4 linked regions of the Caenorhabditis elegans genome follow. The protein of the gene in region 2 purifies or fractionates together with the protein of the main gene of each other region. This does not show direct contact. Each region holds a gene or a part of one and is shown on either strand. Other genes may lie near its edges.

Region 1 (7,587 bases), on a different chromosome or scaffold from region 2:
CATTCCGGCTCGTTTATTTTTGTAGACATCGTCAGTTTCTTGACATTTCTTATTCTTAAAAGTTCAAAGTTTATTGGAACTTGAAAAAAATCAGAGTTTGAATTTTAAAAATTTTTTTCAGCATATTTTTTGCAAGTTTAGAGATTTTAAATTCCAAAATTGATTTTTGCAGAATTTTTTTGACAGTTTTTTTTAAACTGAAAATGTAGTACTCAAATCAATAGTAGCCAAAGCAATAAAAAAGGCTTGAAAATATATTCCCACCTGAAACAATTTGCGCTCGGAAAATTTAAATTCAGCCAATTTCAGCAACCTTCGTCAATTTAAGAACACCCTCCAGTATAGAAGCTGGGTTTTTTATTTGCAAACTTATCTAGAATGCTGAAAGAAAACTCGAAAAGTATTGCTATTTGTTCCAGATTTTTCCATATTTTTCACACTCATTTCCCAAAAGCTTCTGGCTCCAAGTAAATATTTTTCCAATTTTTTGCCAGTCCGTAAATATATCTATAGCCTCCCTCGTCGTCATGTTTACATGCTCAATTCCATCCTCATTTCTCATTATTTCCTTCATTCATTCTAAAAAATCTTTTCTTAGAATGGACACTTTTAATTTTATATCTGTAAAAATAAATATGTGAAAAGAAAAGTGAGGAAAAAAACAAAGATTGAGAGCCCCCGTTCTGTGATGATTGATGAATGTCGGGTGTTTGAGAATTTTTCATCAAAAACATACTTTCCTTCATCTCTGATTTTTTTTTGGATTTTAAGGATATGTAGAACATTTTGTTTTCCTAATATTTCAAAATAAGATTTAGTTGAAAAATAAATTCAAACATCAAACCTTATTGGCCGACACCCTCACGGTCAAATTTGCCTATCTGATACCCTGAAGTTTGAGCTTATTTTTTTTTGGTTAAATTTTTTGGGCCAAAAAATCGGTGGTCCAATTTCGTGACTTCAAAAAAAGTATTCAAAAATACTAATTTTTTGGATCAATGTAGAGCGCATTTGCACTGATGTACCGTAAAATATGGCGAATTGATAATTGAATTCAAAAATGGTTCGGCTGTGCGGTTCAGATAGGGCGAGTAGAAAGGCGAATAAGAGGTGCCTTCCTACGTCTAGGAACACCTCGTATCTGTGATCTAACTTTAAATTTTTATCCCCAGAATTATTTGCGAAATTTCTGATTTTTGCGACAATTCTAATTCAATAATTGATTTGATTATATCGAGTCTAGACTCTCTATACTTTTTGGCACCTTTTCCCTTTTAATCTCCTTTTTTCTTCCACTTTCCTCTTGCCTCCGCTCTGAATCCGAATTTCGCTTTTCCTTCTTCACACAAATGAACGCAATCCAATTAGTCCTCATCCAACCACCCCGTCCGGTGCCCAAAAACCTGATCCTTATCACAGTTATCACCCGGGAGACGAAAAAGAATATAATTATGAATAAATAGATATTTTCACTTTCCCGTAAATCCTTCTGTCATTCCTCTTCTTCTTCTTTTCTCCAAGCCTCGGAAATATTCTAATCAATTCTGAAATTGAAAATCTCTTCAGAAAAGAAGACGTCGCCGGGACAACAACAACAGCAAGTGGGCGGTGCATGCGTCGTGCGCACCGCTGCTGATAACAAAATAGTGTGCGAGACGGTGAGTCGCAGACAAATCTCACGGGGGAATATCATTTCAGGTCATTCCAACCGGAGAAGACATGCGCGCAAAACGGTCCTTTATTGTTAAGGTTATGCAATATCCTCGGATATTGACACCCTTTCCCGTACCGCCCGTTCGCTCCTCAGTTCCCCTAAACTGATACGAATTATATCCGCTCCCCAACCTTTCCACCTTTTGAAAAATTCAATTTTACAGCTGCCTAATTCAATCCAAACAGCCGAGATGACAACGGCTTCCGAGCTGCTGTCAGACGACGCAAGAGCTCGATTCTCACATACAAAGGCTCTTTTTGAGCAGCTTGAGAGACAGCAAGACGTGAGTTTTTTTTGGATGATAATAATTGGTTTCCGAATTTTGAAATCATTTTGCTATTTTGCATTACGGTTATTTATTTTTCTTGAAAAAACTCACTAAATTGTGGATTAGAGCATATATTCCAGAATTTTTATGCAATTTTTCGCAAAATGATTTTCCTGGCTATATAGATCAAATCTGTAGCTCCCTATGAACAAGTTTTGCCTGCTAGTAGATTCTTCACTTAGGCCTTCAAAGAATAAGTCCCCTCTCTTGATTTGATCTATGAAAATTGCTGGAATTTTGCTCACAGGAAAAGTGAAAAAGTATGACGTCCCCGCTCTTTAGATCACCAGCTGAAAAGTCTGCGTCTAAATTTGGCGAAGTTTTCGGAGATCATTCGGAAAAGAGATACTCTGACTACCAGTTTCTGTATCACTTCACAGCCTCACGTTTAAGAAATTTGACGTCACGTCTGAAAAATGTCTGAAAAAGAGGTTTCCCTATGATCAAGTTTTGCTCAACAATTATTAATTTGGGTCAAAAGTTGGAAACACTGTCGACTTGATTTAGACTTCTACCATATTTATAACTCAAGTTTTGTTAAACACAGCTTAAACCCAGTATTTTCAAAGTCTTGCCCAAATTTTGCCAACTTCTGAGCTAATAGTAAGCTAACTTTTTCAAACATCAGATGCCCGCCACGCTTTTTCCAAAACAAACTCTAAATTGGGCAAGCAGACTACTGTAGTGTCAATTAAAAAATAATGTTTCTAGGTTCCATCATTCTACTCTCCACGTCTTCAACGTCAACCACCACCTCCATTACCCCCAAAACCTCCATCTCAATGTCCGCCGAGTCCGATGTCACAGGTATGTGTGATCAAACAATCACATGGCTCTCTTTCTCTCTCTCTCCTTCTCTTTCTGTTTTCTGGAAAAAGAAATGGAATTTAAAAATTCAAAGACTGTGTCAGTTAGTCAATGTTTTGTGTCTCCAACACCCCCGTCTCTGTTATACTGTTCGGTTGACTAATCCGCTCATCGATAATAGATTCAAAAATAATGGCATTTACTCATATCACACACACACTCCTTTCCCCCATCAGACACACACGCATATAACACATAATCGAAAACTCGAAAACTTTTCCAGGTCGAACGAAATTTCTCTGATTTGGCCGCGGATCTCGATCGGATCCAATCATCGCCGGCAACGTCTAGGTTTATACAAAATAAGTGAGTTGTTTTTTTAAGGATTTGTTACCATACCATAACTTTTTTTTAATTCTCAAAAAAATGTAACTGTAATTTTTTTTGATCAATCGCAATTTTCTCCATTCGGTTCGCGGGCCAAAGTATTTTAATTTTTTTTGGTAGTTACAAAAAGTCGCCTGCAACTAGATTTCAGAAATTCTAGGAAACTGTGCGAAATTCAGATAAATTAGTTGAGAATTTTTTTAAAGGAACTTTTTTGAATTTTCAAATCGAAAAAAAAACCAAAATCTCTGTTTTTTCTTTAATTTCAACTAACATTCTTCTTTGCTTCATTATCAGCTTCGCATGCCTTTTCTTTTTCCAATTCAGATCATCAACTCTTCCGTCATCATATTCCGATTCCACACAGCAGTATTCGTTCGAAAATACGGTTGCCACGTCGCAATATGGAGGACTTCAAACCAACAACAATAATAATAATATTAATATGAATTCATTTGAACCCTATTGGAGAAATGGATCAATATATCGGAGGCAATTCGAAGGAAATGGCAAACCGTATGTGTTTCGCTTCTTTTATTTTTCTTACTTTCTCGCATGAGTTTCTTTATTTTTCTCTATAATAGTTTTTTTTCTTGCGCTGAAGTATTTTAGTTGCGACTAACAAATATTTGTGTTTTTTCGAAAAAAAATGTGGCCTAGAAAAAACCAGAAACTTGGCCAGCATATTTTCTTAGATTTCTCATTCGGGATTTTTTTTGAATTTGCTAAAAAAAAGATCCTTGTGACTTTTCCAAAGTACAAAACTAAAAGTAAAATTTTTGATTCATTCAGGAACACGGTCTTCTTTGGATCTTTCAGAATAGTGATGGCACATAATATCTTGAAATTTTCGAATTTTTCAATTTGAAAAATCTATTAAGATTACAGAAATTGCTAAAATAGCGTGGCCGAGTTTTCTCACATATCGGCTCGTTGGAACCGTAAAAACCCTTTTCAAGCCCATTGTTGGCAAGCTTATGAAGGATCTATCGTAACCTTAAGTTTTTAAAAAACCGCACTGTGTTTGTGATAAAAATTCATTTAGTGTGTCTAGATATATTTTTAGAACGCCGATTTTTTATCGGACATTCACATTTTTTAAAATTTAAAAATTTGATACGATTTGCGCCAGATTGTTTTTTTAGTAAATTTAATATATGCAGGCACCTGAAAAAACCAATCATTTCATGAAAATGAGTTGCTGTTAATATAAATAATCAAATTTCTTCGATCAAAACTTTTTTTTCAGTTTTGGCGAGGAAAACGATGGAATCTCACCAACGACGAATGGAGTGAAGCACACGACATACGCCGTCGTCAAAACACCAAAGGAAACAGAACTTGAAACAACATCAGAAAACAGAGGACTCATGGAAACACGGAGGGGTCTGAGTCCAGAGAGGCCTGACGTGGATTTAACGAATCGAAAGGTCTCGTTCAGCACTGCACCTATTCCGGTAAGATCACCCACTTTTCCCATTCACTCATGTTTCTTTGTTGTTGCAAGTTTGCTCTATGGAATGTATGATGTTCAAAATAATTTTATACTTTTTCTAGGCCAAGACAGATTGAAACGTGGCCGAGAAAAATCTTTTTGAAACTATCAATAGAGCAAACATGCATTCACTGAAACTTGACCACCACAACCTAACATTTCCTTTTGTTTACATATATGTGGCAAGGTGATATTAATTCATTAATAGATATATCTATACAATCTCGAATTAGGTCACCTTATTGATATGATAAGAGATGAGGAACAAGAGAAAAAGAGAAAGAGAAAGCGATCTTCATTTGCATAATATCTAAACGTTTTCACTTTCAGGTCTTCTCGGCGTTTTCCGTTGAAGACTACGATCGCAAGAATGAAGACATTGATCCGGTGGCAAGTTGTGCTGAATATGAATTGGAGAGACGACTTGAAAGAATGGATTTGTTTGAAGTTGATTTGGAAAAGGGTGCCGAGGGACTTGGAGTCTCTATTATTGGTTAGTGATTGTATTGTGGCTTACCATAACTTAGAAGCCTTGTATCTCGGTTACAATCGGATGTTGCTCACAGTTTCTGTTTCATTTTTATAGTTGGAAACTTTCTTTTCTCGGCATAACCAAAGATAACCGAGATATAAGCGCTTAATTAAACTTGAAGGAATGTCAACCTGAAGCTACTGTTTAGGAAAAAATTATATGCTTTCTGCCTGCCTACGGTTTTCGGATAAATTCGTTATGTTTCAGGTATGGGTGTTGGTGCAGACTCGGGTCTTGAAAAGCTGGGAATCTTTGTAAAGAGCATCACACCTGGCGGAGCTGTTCATCGAGATGGACGAATTCGTGTCTGCGATCAAATTGTTTCAGTCGATGGAAAGAGTTTGGTCGGTGTCTCACAGTTGTATGCTGCAAACACGTTGAGATCCACCAGCAATCGAGTCACTTTCACAATTGGTTGGTTTTTTTTGGAGTATTGTGCCGAACGCGTATGATATATTGCATTGATGACTCCGTGAAATAACACAAATATTTTTGTGTGCAACAGCGACTCAATACACCATATTCCGCGCAAGCGTAGAGAAAAAAAGCATCTAGAAAATATTTCAATTATGTTTACCAGTTATCTTCCAATTTAAAAAAAATGTATTGCAGGTCGCGAACAAAACCTTGAAGAATCCGAAGTTGCTCAGCTAATTCAACAAAGTCTTGAACACGACAGAATGAGAATGATGGGAGACGAGGAAGACGATATCGAAGAGCCGCCACCACCACCATCTCAAATGCCACAGCTACCAATTGAACAGGATCGTCCGACAACTTCAATGATCACAAAAGAAGAAATTGAGATTCGTTCGAAGATTGCTGCTCTTGAACTGGAACTTGATGTTACTCATAAGAAAGCAGAGCAATATCATGAAGTGTTGAGCTCAACGAAATCACATTGTGATCAACTGGAAAAGCAGAATGAGCAGGCAAATTATATGATTAAAAACTATCAGGAAAGAGAAAAAGAGTTGTTGAATCGAGAAGAGAATCATGTGGAACAATTGAGAGATAAGGATGTACATTATGCATCATTAGTTCGTCAATTGAAAGAACGAATTGATGAGTTGGAATCGAAATTGGAAGAAGCTGAAGAGAGAAGGCATTCTATTCAGAATCTTGAGCTTATCGAGTTGAGAGAGAAGTTAAAGGAGAAAGTTGAGAAGAGGAATGAAGGAATGGCGTATAGACCAGGTGGAGAGCTTCCTCACGAGGATAAGGCTGTTATGGTTAATTTGGAGACTATTGTAAGTTGGAGAAAATATGAAAGAACATTCATCTTCAAACTTCATTCTAAAACAGTTTTCACATAATGCCTAAAATTAAGCTTGAGCGTAGGCCCTATGCCTAAGCCTAAGCCTACGCCTAAGCCTAAGACTAAGACTAAGCCTAAGCCCAAGTAAGAAACTAATTATAACACCCATTTTCATTTCCAGACTCCATCAACCAAAAAAGATGCGGAAGTATCAGTTGGAAGTAGTTGGACAGAAGAGTACTCATCACCATGCGAGTCGCCAGTCCCTCGTATCTCCGAGCCAGCATCTCCGGCTCTTCCACATAAATTGACGCATCGCAAACTTCTGTTCCCACTCCGAAAGAAGTACGCCGAAAACGAGTTCTGGCGTGCCACGTGTCAACCAGTTGGTCTTCAAGCTCTTCATTGGACGGTGGACGATGTTTGTCAGTTGCTCGTTTCAATGGGCTTGGACAAATATGTGCCAGAGTTCACCATTAATAAGATCGATGGAGCCAAGTTCCTCGAGCTCGACGGAAATAAACTGAAGGTGAGTAAGATGTATACGATCCCGGCGCAAGAAAACTCGGGTAGAAAAAAAAAACGCTGCAATTACATAACGAAAAGTTAAACTATTTCGTAGGCACCAAGGTGCTAAAATTTTTTAAACTTTTCGGTTTTTTGGGTAAAACCGAGAAAAAGATTCCTGAAAATTCTGAAATGAATTCAATATTTATGTTACACTCTATTTCATAAAAACAACAGAAATGTCACTTTTCGAGCAAGAGAGACTGAACTTTTGTTTTTGATTTTTCAGTTTCTTGTGCCAAACCCAAAAACCCTTCAGGTCTAGTAGGCACAGTCTGCCTACCTGAAAAGTGCCTAGAATATACAAGGCTTAAAATAGGTGCATTCTATAAACCTTATGTGACGTCAACTTTTTCAAATTTTCCACAATTTTGGGAAATCACACCACTTGAAATTGTTTATCTGAATCAATATTTTTTAGGCAATGGGAATTCAAAATCACTCGGATCGTTCTCTAATTAAAAAGAAAGTAAAAGGAATGAAGAATAAAATTGAAAGA
Region 2 (7,370 bases):
TATTGATGAAACGACCGACCTTGATCAGCTAACGATTTCCCGCCCAACGGCTGTTTTTGCGGAAACTGGAAATATCTCACTAGATGGCACAAGCCAGACGGTCCAAAGAGCATCGATGTCCTCGCCGGGTAGTGTCACAGTGGTTTCATCTCCGACGATTGGTGTTTTGGCGGCAGCCCCTACAGCGATTGGTGCGTTGATGGGAGCATCTCCTGGCGTTGGAGCTTTGGTCGCTGCAGCTCTTAATCCTGTTCAACAAAACCCTTCGGAGAAAGAGGATCCTGATGGTGGTTCTCTTAGTACTGTTGGTTATAATTTCCGGTTCTTTCAAAGCATAGACTAGCTTTTTTCAGGACTTTCACGTTGTACACGACGAACTGAAACACGCTATGGCATTGGACAAATCTATCAAACGGCACTGCTAGCGACGCTATTTGTATAAATATTTCCTTCATTTCAATTTTTTTTCCAATTTTCAGTAATGCAATTTTTTTAAAAAGAATAAAACAATAGTTCAAAGTGAAAATTTTATTTAGAAAATGTCAAAAGACTACAATCAAACAGATGTGAATGATCAATTTACATAAAAGTGCCGGTCTAGCTTAATCAATAAGCGACGCAGGCGGTTGGGACCTTGACAGACTCAACGAAAGAGACTGGGTAGTCGTCAAGTTGGAGTGGCTGTTGGCGAGACTCCTTCAAGAGACGGCTGGCATCTCTGTTGTGACGTTGCAAGCAGGTGAAGCGGATCTTTCTCTGTTGTTGCTGCTCGACCTCGTATCCGCGGCGGCACTCGGCTACTGGCTCAACGGAGAAGCAGATGCGGTGGGAGAACTCCTTGATTTGTGTCTTCTCGACAAGATCTTAAATTAAAAATTATCGATATGAAATTTGAAGAAATTGTATCTTACCGGATTTCTTCTGGCTTCTCTGGTTCTTCTGGCTCTTCTTGGTGTTTTCCTGCTCGTAATCGTAGGTCTCCTCAGATGAATACTCATCAGATTGCTCCTCGTCTCTCTCGTACTTTCTGTAGTTCTTCTTCTCGGAAAGACGCTCCTCCTCGGCTTCGCACTCCTCGTTCTTGAGAAGGTATGAGCGGTGAAACTCTTCGATGTCTTCGGTTTCGGTGTTATCGGAAGTGTAGAACTCGTTGGTGGACTGAAAATTTTTGTTATAACTCAATATAAATTTCTACACTGAACTCACCTCATCATCATTGTTTCCGCAAAGTCCGCAAAGTTGATTCTTGCGGCTGTAGGATGGAAGTTGGGTCTTGATGGTGTATCCGTCAAAGCGAACCTCTCCTTCTGGAAGCTCAATAACAATAGCGGACTCTCCGAGTCTCTCGATTTGGTAAGCAGAATAATCCTCAGATTGGATCTTCTTTCCGTCAACCTTAACGCGGATCTCCTCGTTCTGGAGTTGGGCAACAATTTCTTGTTCTCCACGGATAACCTTGATGATCATCTCTTCAGAATTCTTTTCAGTCTTCTTGGAGAGAACAGCGAAAGTTGGCTCCTCGGAGCAATCCTTGGCGATAAGAGAGTAGCAGGTGGTGAGTGGAGTGTTGTAAAGGACATCATCGAAAGTGCGGATTTGGTTCTTTTGCACCTTGCAGACAGATCCGGAAGCCTCAGTAAGTTGGTGCTTGACGGAACGTTGAGCAATGGATGGAAGGTAGACACGTGGAACTTGAACGTTTTTGAGCTCAATGCGCTCCATTGGGGATTGCATGGTGATGTTGACGTATTGGCGGGACATTGGCTCAACTGTGAGTTGGACGACGACGCGATCATTCTCGTTGTTCTCTGGGCGGCTCGAGACAGTCCAGTAGTTGTAGGTCTTAACAAGATCGAAATAACGGGCAAGAACTTGTTCGGTTTCACGGGTGAGCTTGTACTCAGCAACAGCGTTGATCTGGTTAAGACGGGCGGCCTTGATCAAAAGCTCGTACTCTGGCATTCCATTGAATTGACGGTCCATGTTACGCTCGTATTTCTTCTGTTCTTTGGATTGTTGGAGTTGAGCATTGACGGTGACTTCGCTCTTCTTCTGGGATCCCCAGGTAGAGGTAAGAGAGAGTTGAACCTCACGGTGGGGTTGATCGCGGAGTTGACGGAGGGATGATGGCATCTCTGGGCGGACAACAAGAAGTTGGGAGCGGAGAGTCCATTCCTTGGTTTCCTCAAGGATTGGGGAGCGGCGGATTTCAACTTCCCATTGGCACATGCGGACTTGCTTGTCACAGACGGTGGTGAGCTCGGTGTTCATGGTGTAGTCACGTGGGGCCTCAAGTTTCAAGGAGATGACGGATTTGTATCCTTGCTCCTTCTGGATGTTCTTGACCATCTTGTTGAAGTACTCACGGCGGCTCTCGGTGTTCTCTTGTTCGAGCTCGAACTCCTTTTCGAAGATCTTGTTGTACTTGATTTGGGAGAGTTCGGTCTTCTCGAGTTGTCCAACGGTGAGACGGGCAGTGAATTCGGCTGGACGGTTCTTGTTCTCAACGGAAACCTCGAAGTCTTGCTCGGCAAGAAGCCAGTTTTCAAGAGTGTGTTGGTTGAGGATGTTTCCGCGGGTGGAGACTTCAAGTCCGAGGAAGTTGAAGACTTTCTCAATTTCCTGAGTCTTTTGTTGCCATTGTGGAACAACGACGGTTCTCTCTTCAGCCTCAATGTATTCGAACTTCGAGAATCCTGGGAAACGAAGGAAGACAACTGGGCGAGTGGTGAGGGAGACGATCGATTTTTGGTTCTCTGGAACGACAACCTTGTAGACGATTTCGAAGTTTCTCTTCATTCCAGCGACGGCTTGAATCTTGATTGGGGTGTAGGCGCGGACGGATTGAACGCTCTTGACTCCTTGCTCGAAGAGTGGGGTGAACATTCTCATCTCGTAGACGTGGGTGGCAGCAACAGATGGGCGAGCCTCAACGGTCAAACGAAGTTCCGTTCCCTCGAGTTCAAGAGAGAATTGTCCTTCAGCCGAGATGACGGTTGGGATCTTTCCAGAGATGGTGAGTGGAAGCCCAAGAGTTGTTGGGAATTTGCGGATAGCTTCGTAGAAGTAAGCGGCATGGTGCGTCTCGAACTCGAGCTCTTGGTTGAGAAGACGGCGGATTTCGCTGAACTGAACCTTTCCGTTGCTGGTGAACTTCTCGATAAGATTCTCAACAAGTTGTCTGTCAATTGGAAGGAAGGCGTAGTCCATGTCCTTGTAACGAAGGTAGACCATGGCGAAGGCATCCTTCTCGGTGTAGGTAGCTGGGCGAGCACGGATGTTCATTTTCTGGGCAAGTTCCTTAAGAAGCTTGATTCCAGTTTGAATACGGCGTCCGCGAACAACAGTGGTCGACTCCTTCTCGAGGCTTTCGAGTTTCTCAAGAGCCATCTGAACATATTTGTCCATGTGCTGCTGAGAGAATCCGATTTGGGCAAAGTACTTGTTCCAGTTTCCTCCGAAGACGGCATCAAGAGAAGCGTGAAGATCCTTTGGCAAGAAAGAGTTCTTCTCGAAGATAGCGGCAAAGTCAAATTGAGCTCCAGAGAAGGAGTTTTGAAGGAAGAGTGGAAGTTGAGCGTAGGAGGAAGCGATCATTTGTTCTTGTGGTTGATAACGAGTGAAGGAAAGAACCTTTGAGCAAACGATAGCAACACGTTGGTAACATGGGTTGGTGGACATGGCAAAGTGACGGATCATCTGGTGGGTAAGAGCAGCAACTTGTTGGTTGGTCTCCTTCTCCATTTGGGAGACAACTTGGACGAGGAGGGACTCTTCTGGGCGGGTATGCATCATTCTCCACAAAGCAAGCATGCGGATCTCTGGCTCGTATTGTCTGTTCTTGTAGATTGGGAGGAGTACCTTTTGGATCTTGCGTGGCATGGTGTCCTTAAGAAGTCTGAGGGCATCAATGGCTTCCTTGCGGACTGGGAGTGGTTGGCGCTTATCAACAATGATCTCGTTGAGTTGGTTGACGGAGATGTCGAGTCCAGCGTTTCCGATGGTCTTGAGGGCCAAAATCTTCTCGTAGGTGGTCTCAGCATCCTTGTATTGTTGCATGAATACGCGGAGGAACTTCTCCTTGAGCTCACGCTTGTCCTCACGAACGAGTGGACGGATGTTCTTGTAGTCAACAATTCCGCGGACAACTGATCCAGCGGCGAGCCAAGCAGCTTGACGGACAACCAGGTTGTTCTTGGCAACGCGAGACTCGGCGAACTTGATGAGTGCCTCAGCGATGCTTTGGGATGGGAATGGTGTCTCTTGGATGGTCTTAAGAATTTGACCGAGTGGGAGAATGTCCTCGTTTTCCATGTGAACAAGGATGTGTTGAATTGTGTTCTTGGTTCCAGCAATAGCAAGAGCGTGCTCCATCAATGATTGGATCTAAATATTGCAAGGTATAGGATATAATGAAACTGAAATTTTTTACCTTCTTGTCAGCCTTGACGTAAAGAGTCTCGTGGATCTCCTTAAGTTGGGAGGTGGAGGTGGTGCGGAAAATGCGGACAAGACGAGCAAGGAAGTGGGAGGTCTCTGGCATGTTGTTCTCGACTTCTTGGATTTGCTCAGTGATAGTCTTGATCAAGTGCATCTTCTTGTCGAGTGGGAACTTCTCGAATGGGGCGAACTCAGCCTTGTCTCCATTCTTGAAGAAGTCCTCAACGAGTTGCTCCCAACGGGAAGAGTAGATGATGCTTTCCTTCTCTCCATTGACCTGAAAGAATATTTTTCTGAGAACATACTGTAAAAATTATAGATTATCGTACCTTCTTGATGTGGCTCTTGATGGAGTGGTTCTCCTCAAGAACGAGCTTTGAGCGGGTTTCAGTCTTCATTACTTCTTGTCCGTTGACGTTGACAGTGTAAAGGGAGCGGACCTCGGATTCCTTAAGCTCTTCGTTCTCCAAAACGTAGGTGTAGACAGTTTGTGGGCGGATGAGCTCGGTGTCCTTCTCGCATTCTGGGCACTCGGAAGAGTAACGAAGTCCGTAAGCGATCTCGGAACGTTCGGTGCACTTATCGAAGTTGATGGACTTGGTGATGATGGTCTTCTTCTGCTCACGGATGACAGTGTAGGCGACTTGGCAGTCTCCTTCAAGGGTCTTCTCGTTGGTGAAGAAAGAAGTGTTTTCCTCAGATTGTTCCTCCTTGTCATAAGAAGATTCGATCTTCTCAATCTCGTTTCTTGGAGCAATTGGGTTGAAAGAGATCATGTTGACAACAGCTCTCTTCATGTTCTTTGACCATTCAGCGTCTTCCTTGTCAAATTGGAGCTCGGAGATAAGTCCATTTCTGAGTTGAGCACGGAGTGGGAGTTCGAGCATTTGCTTGTACTCCTCGGAGAGCTCGCGCTGCTCCATGGAGTTCAAGGAAGGCATCTGCTCGGACTCTGGGAGGTGGGAAGCGGCCATGCGGATGTTGACAAGTTGAAGGTGGATGTAGCGGTCATCGACGGCTTGAATGCGGGCACGTGCAGAAATACGGGATTGGGAAAGCTCAGAGGAAGCGGATGGGAGTCCGGAAAGGACGAGGCCATCGAACTTGTAGTGATAGTCAGTTTTTGGCTCGAAGGTGCGCTCGAAAGCTGGAGAGGAGGCGAGGGCCAAGGCCACGAGAGAGGCGATGATGATCGACCTCATGGCTGAACCGTGATTGGACTGTTTTCAGTGCACCTTTATATACGGCTAAAGATTGACATATGTTCGATTGACTTCATATGGAAGTTATAGCGTTTTAGCGCATTGATAAGCTCATTGATGGACACATTCAAGCATTCGCTCCGCTTTGTGACCCTTATCAGAAACAAATTGCAACATTCGGTGAGAGCCCTGTCTATTAATTTTGAATGAGGGGTTCTAAACATATAACTAAATTGTTTCAAGTAATACAGTTTGATCACACTGCACTTTGATACTCATGACTTTTTAACGATGAGGTGATTCTGGACATGATGAAACTCAGCTAGCACATGGTATTTAAAACAAAGTCATTACTTTTTTACTTGCTAGTTGCATTGTGACCGACAGGATAGAAAAATCTGCAAAAAAAACTTGGTAAAATTGTATTGTAGGCACCTAAAACGCAACCAGTTTTCCTCAATTGGGCACACAGGATCACAAAAACTAAAACTGAATCCAAAAAAATATGATAGAACTAACAAATGTTAAAACTTAAAACAACTAAACATTAAAAACCCAATTATTCACAAACTTCACCAGATGTTTTGACATTATTCTAACTTAACATTAATTGTACGTCTAGCAAAAATCTGATTAGTTGGAAATCCGCGGCATCCCTAAAACTTTTTCATTTTCCAGTGTTCTGCGTATTATTCGGTTGTCAGTAATTCCCAAATCTGGACTATAAGGTCTCACAAACGTCCGGTACTGTGATTGTGTGTTAATTGTTTCTAAATTAACTTGAATTCACCATTATTTATTTGTAACTTATAAGAAATCTGTTTTGTTTGTATTTTTTTTTTACTTCCCGTTCAGAAAGTCGACTATTTTTGATCAAGTACTTTATGCCACGAAAACCAATATCACGCTAGTTGTTGAAATCGACAACGCCGCTGGGGTGGTCGCTGCGCACTTGGCGAATCCGCAACACAGGAGAAAAGATTGGATAGTCAAATGACCCAGAAATGTCCGTGGAGGAATATAGCAGTCTCGGCGGTGTACGACGCGACGGAATTCGGATGTAGGACAGAGACTCCTAGTAAGAAGGAGGAGGAGGGGGGTCCTTTCCCGAAAAACACTCCCTATTCTTTCTTCCTTCCCTTTCGGTTATCACTCCACACTTGTTGATGTCACAACCGATCCGGACATTCAACCCGCACCGATTGCCTGTGTCTCCATTTCCAAGGAGAAGTGTATCTCCGATATATACAACTTTCATATTTATTTCAAATGTTTGAACTATACAGTTTATGATATTTTTGGTTCAAATGGTTTAATTCCAAAAACGGAACCATTAGTTAATACGTTTTTGTTGTTCCTGTTTGAATTTTTTGAGCCTTTTCCTATCAATTACTTTTTGAAATCTAACAGAAATTTTGAAACCAAATAACTTTTTCATAGTCCTCTCAGATTTGCTTCGACGTCTCAGCTTTTCACAATACTCATAGAATAAGTAATATAATTTATCAAAAGAAACAGTTGTGATAATAATTAATGTGTTTCAACGGTATTTGTAAAATATCTGTAGTTTATGTTTGTAAAACAATTTTGTATATATGTTTCGGCTCACTTAAGCTTTCTAGGCCAATTTCAGGCGTTTTAGACTCATTTGTAGGCTTATCGGGCTGTTAGGTAGGATAGTCCCTATAAAATAAGTTGAATAATGTTTTGGAATAAAAAACGAAAGTT
Region 3 (5,252 bases), on a different chromosome or scaffold from region 2:
ATTTACCATTTACCAATCATAACATTACCTTTATTTTTTAAAGGTTTTATCCCAACATTAAAAATGTGTACAATAATTATCAAATTTTCAGTTTAAAAGATAAAGGAAAGATGAGGACTAAAAATTCCAGTCAATCAAGGCTTCTTCAATTTTCTACTTCTACGTGAAAACTCTCGCCTGAAAAAGTAAGTTTAAAGCTCACAAGTAATATAAAATTACTCTTCCGTTTGAAATTAACCTGCATGATTTATTCCAATTAAAATGAAAAATCAATTTCAAAACAAACTGTCATTAGAGCCCCTCTTGCAGCTGATAAATTTATTGGATCATCAATCAATAATCCACCAAAATATCTCGATAGAATAGTAAGTGTTGTATATGTTCCAAAAAAGATATATTGATCTTCAAATGAAGATTTCTTCTTTGTTTTGTCTATTCTTGTTCTAGGCGTCACAGGAATCGCTCATCTTCGAACCAATGACGTTGAAAGATGGTCGATCAACGACTAGTGTGTAGATTCAGTACAGAAGATCATTTATCAATCTTTTTTATTTCACATCTGTGTGTGACAATACAAGGATGGAATCAAATAGATGTTTTGGGGAGAAGGGACGAGATAAATAGAAAAAGATGGGGGAAAATGTGTGTATTTCTGTGTCGGTGTGAAAGGAACAACCCATTTGGCAAAAACAAACTATTGATCGAATGAATTTGTAAAAATTGAAAATCTATCTTAACACCCTTGAAATCTCGATGGATTTCATTGAAAAACAAAAATGTTGTCAGCATTTTCATTTTTGAAAACAATCTACCTAATTTTCAGGGGCGACCAAAATATAAAGCGTTTGGATGTTTGGGGAAAAGGAATCAGGGGCTCTAGAAAGAATAAGTTACGAATAGGTACGATGTGTGAAAAACAAGTTAGAAAAGCTCTTTGATGGTGGAAAGGGAAGGAGAATACGGGAAAGAGTAGCATGAAACACGAATCTTTACAGAATAGGAATGAAACCTAAAGCTTCCGGTATGAAAGCTAACAGATTATGCTGCTATAAATGAGGGAAGTATACAAAAGAGATGGGAATCCAATATCGAGTATCTCGAATAGGTGGGGAAGAGCAAGTTACCAGTGTGAAAAGGGCGGGAAAAGAAAAAAAGAAAGCTAGGAAGACATGAATCAATTCTTTTTGAGCTGCTTATACAGATCATCGAGGGTCTTCTGGTAGGCCATTTGGATAGGCTTTCTCTTCAGCTTGAGTGCTTCGGTAAGAAGGCCAGTGTCAGGAGTCCAAATCTCGGGGCAAAGATGAATCGCGGCTGGGATTTCAGAGCGGGAAAGTTTGCCTGAAACAATATACATTTTTAGGGAACCACAATTTAATTATTTTAAACATTAGAACGTTCATAATTTCTCAAAACTAACTTTTCTTGGCATGTTCTTCGAGTTGTTTCTTGTAGGCAGCAATGACCTTCTTATCTTCACACATCGTCTTCATTTCACTAGTTGATACACCTTCCGCTTCAGCAATCTTCTCCAAGTGCTTCTGGTTTGGAACCACAAGAGCAACAACACTGTCTTCCATTCCACTTCCATAAACGCAGATGTTATCAACAATTGGGCAATTGAGAAGTGCACATTCAACTTTAGCGAGAGAAACATATTCTCCGTGTTGCAATTTAACCAAATCCTTCTTTCTGTCAATAATGAGAAGAGAACCATCATCACGCTTCTGTCCAATATCTCCAGTGGCAAAGTACACTTTTCCTTTATAGGTGATGAAATCTTCAGCGGTCTTTTCTGGTTGTTTATAATATCCAGGTGAGATGTTTTCTCCAGAAATAAGAATCTCTCCTTGTGGTGGATCATTGAATGGTGAGTATCCACCTTCGGACCACTCACGAAGAGCAATATCTGAGCATCTGACTGGGGGACCAACGGTTCCTGTGCTCAAGTCGTTGATATCAGCAACACAAGCAGCTCCACAAGTTTCTGTGAGTCCGTATCCTTGAACAACAGGGCAGCACATACAAATATTCATGAATCTTTGAGTTTCAGCGTTCAATGGGGCTCCACCAGACAAAACACCACGAAGTTTTCCTCCCAAAAGTCTGCGAATCTTTTTGAATACGATGCGATCAAGGAATGGACTGCAGTAACCCTCCAAATAGCGGGATCTCTTTCTCTCATAATTAAGTTTGAACAATTCTTGCATGAAACGAGGTGATGCAGCAACTTCTTCGGAGACGGCCTTGAAAATTCGATCCATAATAGCTGGAACAGCAGCCATAAGAGTTGGGCGGAGGGCATGACAATCTCCATGTGTTCCCTTTTGGATTTTTGATGCACGGTCGTGAAGTGTCAAGGGTGAAGAATATCCAACCTTAAAATAAATGGGTAAAATGAGTTTTAAATCCAATAAAAATTCTTACCTTGGCTCCTTTAGTCAAACATGTCAATTCGGCATCCAATTCGAGAATATGAGCAAGTGGAAGATACCCAATGTATGTATCTGCATTGCATATGATTCCAACACCATCCCCTTGTCCCAACAAAGCAGCCACAACGTTTTGATGAAGAAGAATAACTCCTTTTGGCTGACCAGTTGTGCCAGAAGTGTACATGATGAGGGCAATGTCTGACTTCACAGCTGTAGATTCTTTAACTTGTTCCTGATTGCGAGTAAGAAGTCCGCTCAGTGATAGAACATGTTTGAACTGATCACGGAACGGTGCAAGCTCTGGTGCTGGTGCTTTCTGGTCCACAGGAGCGAAATAAATCAGGGTCTTCAGAGTTGGACATTTCTTTCCAAGCGTTACAATCTTTGGAAGAAGTTCCGAAGAAGTGACAAGAATTGTAGCTTCAGTCTCTCCGATGGCATGAGCAATTGCGTCTTCTCCCAAAGTTGCGTATACAGTTACGATGGTGACGTTGGCACGGAAACAGGCAAGAGCAGTGATGAGCCAATCTGCACGAGTTTCAGCAAAGATAACAACTTTCGGATTTTGTTCTTCATGGGCAAGATCCTTGATACCGGCTGCGAGGCGGGCGACTTGAGTTTCAACTTCTTTGTAGCTCTGCCACACATACTCTCCAAGATGCCACTTCTCAAACACACGGCCTCCAGGTTGTTTATCTTCGTGAACTTCAATAAGCTGTCGAGTTCCCAAACATGGCGATTCATCGTAGAGTTCGACGCACTTTCTCCAAACCTAAAATTTAAAGCATGAAATGTGCTACTTCAGCTTTTATCGAATTCTGCAATGCAGATCTTTGCACACTTGCCTACCTTATCAACTGTGTCTTTTCCTGGGAATGTTTCTGAAGCATGTCCTTGAATATTACGGATTGGTCCATCACGATCGTCAACCCAATTTGCCTGAAACAGATAATACGGATAAATTAATATTAAAAGTATTGACAAACCTTTACTCGCTCCGACTTCCGAAGCTTTTCCGTTGGCGAATTGAACAACTGGTATGGCAAGTAGTTGAGACAATCGTATATGAAAAACCACACACGAAGGATGGCCATAGCTACACGAATCCATATTGGTGATTCACCTTTCACTACCTGAAAATAGAACTTGTTGGAAACTTTCAAACAAAAAATCGTAAAATGTCCTAAACAAAAACACGAACCTGGCCGAGTGTCTTATCCTTTGAAGAATCGTATACCGAAACTTTCCGTTTCATCTGTAAATAACGAAAATTAGAAGAGATTATTCTAAAGAAAAATGGGAAGAATGTACAAGACCGTGACGCATGGAATAGAGAATGTATATAATATGATATGTATACAGAAGCAGCATTTCTACAGTTTTGGGAACATAAAGAACAATTTTTAATTCACGATGAGCAAAATTGCTAGACAAAAAATTACGAGAATTGCGAGAATAATGCAAGAAGGGAAAATATATTTCTGTGCAAATATTTGACAATTTTTTTTCTCATCTTCTCCCGTTCAGAGTGCAGCCTATTTGTCTTACATCAAAAAGTCCAATAATTGTTGCAGTTTTTGCGACGTTCTTTTTAAACATTATTATGGTTAGCTGCCGATGAAAAAGAGGAAACTACATTATGTCTTTGACGGAACTCTTGATAGCATCATTTTTATAAAGTTGGAGGTGTTTCGTTTCGGACTGCAAAAGCAGAAAAAAGGGAAAACGGAAAATCGTGCTGATAAGGAAAAAACCTCAAAATAATTCCGGCATGAAAAGTCACCACGAGTTTTAAATCGTAGTTTGATTATTGTAAAATGTTAAAATTAAAAAAAAAAGTCTTAGACAGTTATTGTTGTAAAGTTAACAGCCTTCAATCTCTGGACGAAAACAATTCCTCGTCTTATCAGCATCAGTAAAAATAATATCATTATCAGGTGTTTTGCGTTATCAAATCAGTGAAATGTCGTTCGCGGTAACAATTAAGAACATGCGGAAGATGTATCGTGTTCACAATTTTCACCGTAAAAATTTCGAATGGAAAAAAGAACTGTCCGAAACAAATGACGTCTCCTTCTACATTCTGCGTGGCAACATCGCAGTTCTTCACAGGAAAAGAGAAAGAGGAGGAAAACTGCACACGCCCGTATTCTTTTCCTCTTCCTCCCTCTTCTTCCACTCTGTTCTCTCAGTTTTTTTAAACATAGGAGCGGCTCCCCTCACTCCCCATCTATTCCGCGCAGTCGTGAGACGCAGACAATGCTAGGAATGCATAGATGAACGCTGAGTTGGAAGCGGAGGTCTTTCTGCGCACACGAGTAGAGACAAAACAGAGAAAGCAACTCAGAACATGGCGCGAGATTCGGATATGGCACCACTTTTGACCTCAAGAGGACCAACAAGCTTTAAGAATAATTGTTACATTCGAGTTACATAAGTTTATACATTTAAATGTTAAGTAAGCCTTATTTTCAGAAATGCTTGCCTAAATCAGAAAAAAAACAACAGCGAGAAAATGTTAAAATGAACGTCTGGGAAAACTATTTTTTGTGATGAATCATAAGGATGGGCTGTAGAAAAAGGAAATTAAATTTTGAGAACGCGGTTTTCCTAGAAAATCATCTATAATAGTTGGACATTCAATCTAAATGGAAACAGTTAGAGAAATACTAGAATTATTCATATTGTCAAGATATTCGTCAGCCGTTTTAAATCTAATTACACGCCACCGAGGAGATACGCGACTGAAACCCTGTGGTTGCGTATTGGGTGACAGGGTACTCTTGGTGGAGGGATTAGGACAGTGTATTGATTGAA
Region 4 (4,325 bases), on a different chromosome or scaffold from region 2:
CGATGGCGACCCACAAGCTGAGCTTCTTCGAAAAGTTGGCCAACACCTTTGGAGCTCTTTACCGTCATCAAGCTCAGCAGTTCCCACGCCGTCTCGCTATTCTCAAGGCTGTTGGAAAGCACGAGCTGGCTCCACCCCGGTCTGCTGACATCCCAGCTATCAAGGCGGACTGGGCTAAGCTCCAGAAGTTTATTGAGACCAAGCAATATGTCAACCTTAGTATCAAGGTAATTTGTTACACGCTGAAACAACACTCAATAAAAAATAACTTCAGGAAAGTCTCGTCTACTCGGCAGTTGCCCTCGAGGTAGTCTTTTGGTTCTTTGTCGGAGAAATGATTGGACGTCGCTACATTTTCGGGTACATTGTTCCAGCCAATTATGTCTCGAAGGATACAAAGGCTAAGGTTGCCGAAAAGAAGAGACTCGCTGCCCTCGAAGCTTAATACATCGATAAGCATATTCATTTGTGAAAATATGTGTTTTTTCTTCAACGTTTGTTAGATAAAAGAAATTAAGGCTTTATTTTTCTAGTTCAATACAAAAAATTACAATCCACTAGTTTCTTCTCCAGCCTCTCGAGTGTAATCCTTCCGATCTTCCTCAAAAGTTTCAAGTGCCTTATTTTTCACTGCATACTGTCTTTTCAGAGATCGGCCTTTGAAAACATGAGAAGTGATTGTTGGAGCAAAAATGATTTGATTCGGAGCGCTAAAAATAAAACTCGTTAGAGAAAAATCAGTTTCGAAATTCTTACTCGGTCGCATCATCCTGGCTTATTGAACTTGTAGAGAGGGTTTTATCTACAGATACTTGTTTCTTGTTGAATTCAATAGTACCGTGCAAGGTATTCATGAAAACAGCATTTCTTTCACAACTCTTCTTGTATCTCGCATTAATTGATGCCAAGGACTCGGACATGATGGTGTTTGCTGTGTTGCTAGGTGGTTCTGTTATTCCAGCATGTTTAACTTTCCCCCCAGCAGTCATTGTCTCAATCAACTTTTCAGCAGTAACCGTGTACTTTCCCTCTGGATCATCGTCCAACGTCATATCCTCTCTGAAATTCAAATATTAAGATCCAACGGATGCAAGCCACGAAAATTACTCTTCGTCTTTTGCCATCCAATAAATCATCTTTCCTTTCTTCAATTGCGAACGGGAAATCGGTTGTTGATACCAACTGGCTGGGAACAGGGCTCTTTTGTCGTCAGTGGTATTCACAACTGAAAATAAACACTCCGATTTCTGTATTGTTTCGTAGTTTTACCGAATTTCTCCATCGGGGCTGTTGGCTCTAAAACTTCTTTTTGCTCCATTGTTTCCACTTTTGTTTGCTTGGGATCGACAGGGGCAGCGTATAAGCTAAAATATGATAATTTCTACATAAAACCATTCGACCCATTGAAACCTTTTCATCTGATCGTACTCTGCTTGGGACTTTTTTATGTTGTCCTGTTTATCTTTCCTTTGCTCCAAACTGATTTTCTGTTTCTTACGAAGAGCGTCCAGTTCCTTTTCACGAGCTGCCTAAAGTTCATGGTTAAAGTAAATTTCTCTATAATCTCTATGTTACGTGATCACGAATCGACACAAACTTTTTTTGTGGAGCCAAAGTGGATAAGTAGTATTCTTTCAATCGTCCAAATTCTACATCAACTTTCACTCCTTGACGATTGACAACCGTATTGGCTCGTTGCATCTTTGGATGGCGCTGAATTTCAAGAAATAATGTATTTCTTTTTAACTTTTTAGATGGATAGTAAAAACCGTAATTAAGCACTTCCTTTGCGCGGCGAGATATATATATATATATACTGTATGCTTACCACGTCTGAATTTTTCGATTTCGAAACGTATTGAGACTGCGTATGAAAGATTTCAACTACTTGCTCCTTTCGAAATTCTTCCCAATTTTTCAGTTGTTTCTGAGCATCCTTCCTGGAAACCAAATCAGATAAGTTATTACATATACATCAATTTATTTAATTACTTGTGAGTTTCATACTGATCATCACTCAGTTTATACCGCTGCTGCATCTTCTTTTTGTAGCTCATCTTCTTCGCCTGTTTCTTTTCATAATCAGATTTCTGTTTATCAGGCGATGGTGATAAACTGAGCTTTTGGAGTTTACCTGAAAGCGCTCGATTTTACTTTAAACCAAAAACTCATCATACTTTTTAAACCAGAGAAATTCATGCTCGCTATTTTTGACTCGAGCACTTGTGAAATGATGCGTGTGAATACTTAGACGTGAATAGAAGGATTAAATGGAAGTTTATTTATCGACTTCACGCGAAAATAAATAAAATTTACACCGAAAACGTGGGTTGGAGAGAGTAAAATGTTTTGAAAAGAAGGATACAAATAAGTTAAACATGGAGATACTGAAACGCATCCTGCACACCGGGGAAAACTTATTCATATTGACAGTTAGTCTCGGCAATCGACCAGTCACCAATAATCTTCTCTTCTTTACCCAAAACGACACCTTCTGTCGCATCAACACGTCCGATTTCGAACTCATTGTCAGCGACGCAGTCGTGGTAGAGAGTAAGTTCAAGCGATTTGCGAAGCACGGCTTCTGCCTCTTCACGGGAGAGGTCTTCTCCCTTCTTTCTCCACTCATCTTCAACAGCTTGGTTGAGGAGGAACGCTCCAAGTCCAGTTGCAATGTGCTTCACTTGATATGCGCATCCCTGAAATTTAGAATAATTATTATGTGATTATTTAATCATGAGATTCTGATCCGGCAAGTTAACGCTTTCAAGTTTACCTTCTGAGTAATGACACCGATGAAAGGTGTGCTAGTCTCCTTGTTGTTCTTCTCCTCCTCTTCGACTCCGGCGACAACAAGTGTGTTCCACACTGGGTTCATCTTGCAACGTCTGAAATTTTTTACTTAAACTTTCAATTTAATTAGGAAAACAGACTTGGCGTAGAGAAGGCTTGTGAGGTATCCGTGGAGAGCTTTTGGTCCAATATCCTGATCGAAGCGCTTCCAGAGAAGAACCTGACGCTCGATCACATTTTGAAGCCAGTGGAAGTCAGCGTGATCTCCTCCGAAGGCAATGAGAACATTATCATTGACCTTGTATTGACGAGAAACATTCTGGAAACAAATATTATGAAAATCCACTTTCAGCTGAACGGAAATTCAAACCTTGTAACGAGCCATTTTTCCATAGGAAACAACTCGATCAGTAAGGACAACAACCCCAGTTTTATACTGGAGAGCGATAACCGATGTTCCGGTACAAGTAGGATTCCTGAAAAATTGAGTTAATTCAAACGAATATAGGTTTAATGACTTACAGTGTGCGCTGGACTTCGTCGTGAGCATTCATTTTGGTTCTGAAACAATATAAATGAAGTTTTTGAAGGGAGTGCTTTGAAAAAATGAAAGGAAGTGAATTTCGACAATGAAATGCAAAAATGGCGGCTAAGTCATCATAAAGCATGTGCGCTCCGTCGAATTTTACACTGAATACCACGCACAATTGCGTACTTCAATAAGAAAAATTATCTCGCGCTACTTTTTTTGAGATAATATTATAATATAAATTAATTCATATTTTATAAATATATTAATTCATATTTTATTCTTTTGAATTCTCACTGAAATTGTGAAACTATTTAAAATATAAATTGTTTCAGAAAAATGACCTCGGAGCTTAAAAATAACGAAGAAGACTACAACTCATCGTCCGATGAAGATTACGATCCAACAAAGGATACCGATTTTGATCCAAAGGATGAAGTAAGCATTCCTAGATATCGCCCTTTTATTGCTCATTCTCCTCAACAGATCGATGATCAAGAAGAATGCGAAGATGGAATTGACGAAGAAGTTGAACATCTGAAAAATGAAAAACAAAGTGACGACCATACATCAGAAAAGGCAAACAGTACTGAAGGAAGTGTTGATGTGGATGCGATATTTGCAGAATTAACTGGGCTAGCACCGAAACCAGTTGTCAACGATACATCAAGCAAGAATATTCCAAAAACTGAAGAAAGGGTGTATCCAAAATCAGCAGCGTATGTTTGAAACAAGTAGAAATAACTTTTAAAAATGTATTTTACAGATCTGCATCCAACGAGTCTACAAATCAGAAGGTTTATCCGAAAAAGTGAGTTGACATGAGTTTTTATTTGATACAAATTTAAAAACAACTTTTTCTTATTTTTCTAATAATTTTTTTCAGAACGGAAACAGCTGGAACATCGTCTGAAAGTAGCATTGTACCCGGAAAGAAAAGAGTCGGCTTGCTTGATGCTGCAAAATCACTGTCGAAGCGTTCTAAAATTTCTGTTTTGGAGAA

Evidence for each region.
Region 1: the proteins of vit-2 (region 2) and nab-1 purify together in Caenorhabditis elegans (affinity purification with mass spectrometry, with the first as the bait; one large-scale study listed by BioGRID). This does not show direct contact.
Region 3: the proteins of vit-2 (region 2) and acs-4 purify together in Caenorhabditis elegans (affinity purification with mass spectrometry, with the first as the bait; one large-scale study listed by BioGRID). This does not show direct contact.
Region 4: the proteins of vit-2 (region 2) and K07A12.5 purify together in Caenorhabditis elegans (affinity purification with mass spectrometry, with the first as the bait; one large-scale study listed by BioGRID). This does not show direct contact.

Annotation. Positions count from the first base shown.
Region 1 is NC_003279.8:4,228,011-4,235,597, forward strand, and holds the start of nab-1 (Neurabin-1), read left to right. Parts: upstream 1-1,566; 5' UTR 1,567-1,658; intron 1,659-1,875; exon of another isoform or gene 1,876-1,877; 5' UTR 1,878-1,904; coding exon 1,905-1,997; intron 1,998-2,753; coding exon 2,754-2,849; coding exon of another isoform or gene 2,850-2,933; exon of another isoform or gene 2,934-3,132; coding exon 3,133-3,215; intron 3,216-3,563; coding exon 3,564-3,752; intron 3,753-4,485; coding exon 4,486-4,693; intron 4,694-5,061; coding exon 5,062-5,224; intron 5,225-5,470; coding exon 5,471-5,677; intron 5,678-5,875; coding exon 5,876-6,513; intron 6,514-6,702; coding exon 6,703-7,050; intron 7,051-7,509; coding exon 7,510-7,587.
Region 2 is NC_003284.9:5,099,315-5,106,684, reverse strand, and holds vit-2 (Vitellogenin-2), read right to left. Parts: upstream 5,654-7,370; 5' UTR 5,643-5,653; coding exon 4,770-5,642; intron 4,718-4,769; coding exon 4,433-4,717; intron 4,387-4,432; coding exon 1,207-4,386; intron 1,159-1,206; coding exon 912-1,158; intron 864-911; coding exon 607-863; 3' UTR 516-606; downstream 1-515. Other genes in the region: C42D8.9 (CUPID domain-containing protein), read left to right, coding at 1-304, 354-425. UniProt on the Caenorhabditis elegans protein: Precursor of the egg-yolk proteins that are sources of nutrients during embryonic development. Together with other vitellogenins, may play a role in modulating life-span, acting via induction of autophagy and lysosomal lipolysis.
Region 3 is NC_003281.10:7,166,276-7,171,527, reverse strand, and holds acs-4 (long-chain-fatty-acid--CoA ligase), read right to left. Parts: upstream 3,691-5,252; coding exon 3,637-3,690; intron 3,569-3,636; coding exon 3,422-3,568; intron 3,375-3,421; coding exon 3,285-3,374; intron 3,208-3,284; coding exon 2,428-3,207; intron 2,379-2,427; coding exon 1,421-2,378; intron 1,342-1,420; coding exon 1,175-1,341; 3' UTR 538-1,174; downstream 1-537.
Region 4 is NC_003279.8:8,692,946-8,697,270, forward strand, and holds K07A12.5 (Pre-mRNA-splicing factor SYF2), read right to left. Parts: upstream 2,330-4,325; 5' UTR 2,200-2,329; coding exon 2,178-2,199; intron 2,135-2,177; coding exon 1,993-2,134; intron 1,941-1,992; coding exon 1,829-1,940; intron 1,714-1,828; coding exon 1,576-1,713; intron 1,530-1,575; coding exon 1,411-1,529; intron 1,365-1,410; coding exon 1,270-1,364; intron 1,226-1,269; coding exon 1,108-1,225; intron 1,060-1,107; coding exon 757-1,059; intron 711-756; coding exon 548-710; 3' UTR 506-547; downstream 1-505. Other genes in the region: asg-1 (putative ATP synthase subunit g 1, mitochondrial), read left to right, coding at 3-227, 275-445; pbs-7 (Proteasome subunit beta), read right to left, coding at 2,418-2,699, 2,777-2,888, 2,934-3,112, 3,164-3,269, 3,316-3,347; F39H11.1 (Craniofacial development protein 1), read left to right, coding at 3,662-3,760, 3,809-4,041, 4,089-4,133, 4,209-4,325.